Linked DNA regions of Oryzias latipes. The protein of the gene in region 2 binds, or shares a complex with, the protein of the main gene of each other region. Links are inferred from orthologs where the notes say so. Each region holds a gene or a part of one and is shown on either strand. Other genes may lie near its edges.

Region 1 (3,755 bases), on a different chromosome or scaffold from region 2:
AACAACAACAAAAAATGTGCTAAAACGCACGTCTCTCTCTTTGTACTCTGGCAGCAGCTCGTGGACGGCGTCGGCAAACAGGCCCGTGTAGCGTTTGGCGTTTTCACTGATGCTCTCCACCAGCTCAGGGTCTTCTTCAGCCACGTCGTCCAGCTCCACAAAGAGGCCCACCTGCTCCCTGTGGGCCAAAGCCACCTATCCACAAACACACCAAAGCTATTAGAAAAACAAGCATGTTGACAAGCTGATGGGAAGGACTCAGTTGGTTGATTTAAAAAGCAGATTATGGTGGATAAACTGGAATAATAATGACAATGAGAAGAGAAAACAGGCGCTCTCTGAAACGCCTCCATCTGCCATAAATGCATGTGCTGTGCATTGGCTGTACTCACAAGTTGTGCTCCGTACTTGAACACCTTCTTCCCATTGCCGTCCTCTGTGTAAAACTCCTGCAGGAACCTTTTGCACTTTTCTGCAAAACACAAATCCCCGGTCTTAATAATACAAACAAAGGCGGTTTGAATGCTGTTGGCAAAAACAGTTTTATGCATTATATTCCTATAACAGAATGATTATCAATTTGAAGCTGCAGGCCTGCAAACTGGGAGCTAATTTGTTGTCCTGCGACGACCCTCTTTGTTGAGTAACATGGCATCCTGTAATCTCGATGAGTCACTATTGCCTACTGTAACACACAATTAGCCGCCGGAGCCCTGATGGAAGCTAGTTTTCGCACAGGTGCGCACATTAGCGCGATTTTCGGGTACACAACAAACGGGCTTCCTGGAGCGGATTTTCCTCAGAGCGCGTTGTAAATAAAACAACAACAAGCGCGCATTCACTTCGGCGCCCCTCTTTTTTGAAAACACTTCAACCCCAACTTCGGAAGCAGAACCGCGGAACTAACGGAATTAACAAACAAACAGCCTTTGTGTGGCGATAAAAACCATTTAACTTACTTGTAGGTAGCAACGGGAAAGCGCCAGTGTGGCTTTATTGCGTATCTGGTCGAGGATGTTATTGTAAACAAAGCAGCACATGGCTTTTGTGCCGCGTCACTTCATATCCCTCCGCGGCTCCTCCGCTCTTAAAAGCAGTCCATGCTGTTGTTTTCTAACCGCGGCCAGCCATCTTTTATCATTAGCTGCTGCTAGCAGGGTAGTGATTCGTACACGCCGCCCCGACCAAACGCATCTTTAATAGGATAAATAGCCCAGCGGTAAGGGGGGAGACGGCAAAAACTAGTCCCAAGGGGTGTTCTAAACATGCGCAAACCCGAAATATATTGATCCAAAAACGGTAACATAAATTATTTTTACCCGGGGACCATAAACTATCCATGTAACAGCATGAAAACTAGTTTGGCGCATAATAAGTACCGTTTACATACACTGAGAGGTGTTTGAGCACAATTTAGTTGCATCGTTTTTTGTGTTCTTGTGTGTGTTTTTTCCTGACTCTGCTTGTTGCCACACAAGTTTTTTAAAGGGTCTGTCAGTAGTTACGTTGTATAGATGTTCAAAACCCTGAGTCTGAAGTGTTAGCGTGTCTGTTTTCACGGAAGGGAACGGACTGCGCGGCTCTACAGCAGCAGCAGCAGCGCCGGCTGAGTCACCGCACGAAGCGCTAAATACAAAATGGCCCGTTCACGGACGCCACAACAGCTACGCAGCTAGCATGCTAACACTCAGGAAAAAGGCTGGAGTCTCTACTTTGGCCACACATTTGGACTCTGTGTACACGAACTACAAAACCTGTGATTTTGTGGTGTTTAAAAGCCTTTTCACCATAAAGGGAAATTGTAGAAGTTACCCAATCATGAAAAGCACTTTATTTATGCTGGTTAAAAATATACGTTCATATTTGTACGTAAAGATAAAGTTGTTGTTAAAGGCGGCAGACTGTTTATATACATTGTGAAATGTCAACTTTCTGCGGGCCACCATCGCAGGGCATGTGCGTTGAAGTTGAGTGTGGCGCCTGCTCCTTTGTTTAAGGCTCCATCCGGGTCACCGCGGAGTCACCAACTCCAACGAAGTACGACTCACCAACTTATTAGTAACCATCTTAGGAGTAGTTATGTCTTAACGGGTTACTCTAACACACCGTGCTGTAATGTAACCACGACAAATAGAAATTAAAAGTATAAAACTGGCATTACAGGTGAGATAAAGTAGTGTATGAGATAAAGTTCACTAATGAATGACATCATCAACACGTAAATCTTCATATGAAATGTTCAGCGACATGCAGCTTCACACGATTTGCTTTTCGTTTAAAGATATTTGTCAAAAAAGGAAATCCGGCCAACCTGTTGCTGCCATGCTGTTCTCCACAGACACACAAGTCCTTACCTTTCTCTGCCGCATAATCCTTTCGCGCCATGGCTGCAGGCGTTCAGCTCCGCGACAGATGATTCGTAACGCAACGCTACAAAGCCCAGATGAAGTCAAACGTAAAGCTTAAATAGATATTTTATTTTCTATTCTTGGAGTGCTGAACTCATTCACAAGCACCCAGCTCCTGTCGGTCGGAGAGCAAAAAGTGGCGCGAGTCTGACAATCGCATCAGCCAATAGTTTCGCGGCTTTCACAGAGGAGGGGCGGGATTTGATAGTGGCGGGAAAGTTGCTGGAGACAACGTCTCACGTGACTGGATAAACTTCCGCCCAGTTTGTCAGGAATGGCGCGAAATGTGACGATAAGATTTTGCATGAACAGACTGAACCTACAAGACAAAGGAGGTACAGGGCAAAATCCAACCCTAAACTACATTTTGTTTGATAGAAAAAAATGCAAAAGCAAACATGTTTATAGGTAATTTTTCTCATTGAATGTGTAAACAAAACTAGAGGTAAGAGATTTTTATGCAATCACTGGTATCTTTTTCAGCTCTGGTTAATGGCTCTATTATTTTTATGATCTGTCATGGTTGTTAAAGCATATAGTTGACTGCTTTATATGTTTAAATCATTCAAAACCTAACACATGTTTTCCCATCACACATATCAATCAGGGCCGATACCTGTGTTTTACAACATTTAATTTCATTTTGAAATACAAAATCAAAAATGATGAAACACCAAACACAACACTTTTGAATAAGAGTCTTAAAAAAATAAACAAAACTGTTTAACAAAACACATGTTGCCAACAATACAACATACTAAGAAGTCCTTGCACTTTCAGTTTATAAAAAAGCTGACAGGTTTCGAACATTACTTCCAATAAAATATAAACATTTCAACTTTTCAAAAATATTTCATCTTTTACAACAAACAAAAATATTTATAAACAAAGTTACAAAGGGCAACAGCTCTCAAACAGAAAAAGAAACCTTTTTTTTAAGTACTTTTTACTCCTGAAGCTCCAGAAGATCTGGCTGGAGGATCCCCGAAAGATTTCAGTCAAAGAGCTCATCCAGGACGCTGACGGAGGTGTGCCTTGTAGAAGGCTGAAAGAAAACACAACCAGAGGACGCTTTTAACTTCACAATCAAATAGTTCACAACCAAAACAGTTTGCGGAACACTAACCGTACAAACTGATTTACAGATCATTCCAACCGTCTCAACTTTGAACAAAAACTAAAGCTAGCTCACAACAGGATCTCTACTTCTTCTTTACAGACTCGCTCCAATGAAAATGGGGTTTCTGGTCTTTTTCACATGTTCTTTTCTGACTATAGAGGACATATTTATTGTGCCTTTTAACCAGAACCTGAAAGTAGCGGCACATTACTCCAGCTTGGAAATCT
Region 2 (2,639 bases):
CCTGAAGAAATGAAAAATAAGAGGACTGAAAAACAGAAGAAAGACTGACTGCTGTCGGGAACTGCAGGCGGAGGCCTGTACCTCCATGAGGTAACAGTACAGGAAAGGTCCCTGTGACAGGATGAGGTTGGTACAAATACAGCTGGCTACAGTCTGCTGGATGGCAATGAGCTTCTTCTTGGCCAGATCGATGCCAGACAGGAGGCGGTTCAGGTTACTTCTGTACAAAACCAGAAAACACAGATAAGGTGTTTCTGTAATCTGATGCAAAAAGATTTTTTATGAGAAAAAAAAAGTAAAGTTTTGACCTTGAAAGTGAATCAAGGGCCTTAATGAAGTTATCTGTGTCGCTTTCATCTTTTTCAGTGCTTTCTAGCAAGGCAGCAGCAGCGTGCACCATGTCACTCGCCAGGAAACGGTTCTTGAAGCCAAACTGAGCCCCAAATGTCTGGATGCGGATGTCCTTGATACTGAAACCAAGAAAATAAAGCATTCCATCTTTTCTTTCTTTTTTTAAAGCCAGCAAGACAAGTATTTTAAAGCCAAACCCCCACCCGTATTTGTTAGAGGACTCCTCAATAACCTCTCTTAGGTTTTCCTTAATGGACATGTCCATGGAGTTAAATTTCTGTTTCACCTGTTTCAAGGGTAGCCTGGTAAAACAGAAACACACATTATTATCGTTCATGGACTGCTAGCTAAAAATCAGTTAATCACAGTAGCATACCCCATATCAGCCAAATACTCCTGGAGTTTCTTTTGGCCATTTAGGGTCCAAAGCTTGAAGTGGCAGCAGGTGTAGCAGGAGTTACAGATGCTCTCATACAGAGACCAGTGCTGGTAAAGCGTCAGGCGCAAGCTGAGGCACAAGGTTGAAGAAGAAGAAGAAGAAAGATTTGGTCACTGCTGAAACTGAAAACATTTCATATGAAGCAGTGGCCTCCAACCCCTGAACCATAGACCGATACCGGTTTTTGGTATCGGGCCACAGAGAAAAAACAAAACATCCTACATTTTTCCCGTTTTATTCATAACCTCATTTTGAAGGTAGTTTTATTTTGGAAAACTGCAGGATTCTCCAACACATCCGGCTCATTCTTTAGGCATGTCAAACCCTGACAGTCAATGATGTCAAGTCGCTCGGTTACGTGTCGAAACTCCATCAGCTACTTTTATTTAAAGCAGCTGTGCTGATTACCAATTTGAAATCCCCAAGCTAGCAAAGTTAACAAGATCCAGAGAGGAAACAGAAGAAGAGCCTTCGACTTCAAAATAAAATACAGCTCCATTTCATAGAGAAAAATCAAGAGTCTTTACTTAAAAATACAGATTTATTGCAACAGTTGATCCCACACAACTATAAAAAATAATGTTAAATATTCAGCAACTGGCTACTGATAAGGATGCTGCTCATAAAGTTGCTCTAATGGTGAATATTTAGAAAAGAACTTTTTTTTTTTTTAAATCTATCGTACCTTGAAAGCCAGTCGAGGCTAAAATCTGCATCCTTTTTTTTTTAAGCTTTCACTCTGACAAGTATGAGTTAAGGGAAAACCTAAAACACATTTTCCTACCCAAACTCTAGAGTACAAATAAAGTCTAAAGCAGCCGCAGACATTTTAATAAGGATAGACTTTACCCTCAAATTTATTGGGAAACTTGAGGCTAAAAAAAAAGAAATTAATAATAAATTTGATGCCCACTTTAGCACAACACCGGCTCATGAAAATATTGTCTGACATGAAATTGATTCCAGGGCCCGAAAAAGGTTGGAGACACCGATTTAAATTATGTAAAAGTGACTAGAAATGAAATAATTAAAGGAGTTGGGCTTACTCGTATTCAAAAGAGATCCTCATACAGTCGATGGACAGTGAGTTCTCCTCGTCTTCGTTACGGTGACTGTGCCGGGAAACATGTCGCTGCATTGTAGCGACATCCGTCACATACTTCATGCTAAAGGAAAGTCACATGGAGTCACCGCGTGAGCACCCTGATAAAGACACTTTGTTATGAAACATGAGCTGATAATGTTCTTACTGTGTAATTTTATCATGAACCCACTGATCTGTCAGGCCGACAATGGCCCACCTGAAACGAAAAATCAACGTATGTAGCAGACACTGAAACATACTATTTCACTGACTGAAACTCCACGAGAAAGCTCACCAGAGCATGTCTTTGGTGTCTTTAGTCAAAACCCAGGCGAGTTCAAAAACCATCATAGCAGCCTGATGAGTGCAGCACAGAAAAAACAAAAGTGTAGGTTCACTGGGCAGAAACTTTTAAAAATTGTAAAAATAAATACTCACAGATGTCCCGTGGTATTCATACTGCTCATAGTCAAACAAGATTTCCTTTCTGCCAAATGGAAACAGCTAGAATTAAACAAATGCACACACTAATGGAAACTCCAACAGCAGTAAATCACCTTCGAGCCTCCCATTCTCTTCTCACTCGCTGTCTTTCTATTCTCCTCTCCACGGCCCCCTTCAATGAAGCCACAAAGACATGCCTGTGTTATCGTCAGTTCTACCGTACCGTTAGGCCTACTCTTTCAGCTCACTTCATCAAATCTTCTTCGCTTCCCAGATGGCTCGGAGCCTTCATCGCTCTCATTTCCAGAGTCATCTTCATTC

Evidence for each region.
Region 1: cdc45 (region 2) and mcm7 share a complex: the UniProt entries of both Homo sapiens proteins name them as parts of the CMG helicase complex. The link is inferred for Oryzias latipes from reciprocal best matches to the Homo sapiens genes CDC45 and MCM7.

What each region holds. Positions count from the first base shown.
Region 1 is NC_019868.2:6,627,478-6,631,232, reverse strand, and holds the start of mcm7 (DNA replication licensing factor MCM7), read right to left. Parts: upstream 2,386-3,755; coding exon 2,355-2,385; intron 1,003-2,354; exon of another isoform or gene 960-1,002; intron 473-959; coding exon 393-472; intron 196-392; coding exon 31-195; intron 1-30. Other genes in the region: cohesin subunit SA-1, read right to left, coding at 3,403-3,453. UniProt on the Homo sapiens protein: Acts as a component of the MCM2-7 complex (MCM complex) which is the replicative helicase essential for 'once per cell cycle' DNA replication initiation and elongation in eukaryotic cells.
Region 2 is NC_019867.2:6,359,256-6,361,894, forward strand, and holds part of cdc45 (cell division control protein 45 homolog), read right to left. Parts: coding exon 2,567-2,639; intron 2,491-2,566; coding exon 2,432-2,490; intron 2,362-2,431; coding exon 2,313-2,361; intron 2,232-2,312; coding exon 2,170-2,231; intron 2,092-2,169; coding exon 2,041-2,091; intron 1,957-2,040; coding exon 1,837-1,956; intron 860-1,836; coding exon 728-859; intron 654-727; coding exon 555-653; intron 471-554; coding exon 309-470; intron 221-308; coding exon 82-220; intron 2-81; coding exon 1-1. UniProt on the Homo sapiens protein: Required for initiation of chromosomal DNA replication. Core component of CDC45-MCM-GINS (CMG) helicase, the molecular machine that unwinds template DNA during replication, and around which the replisome is built.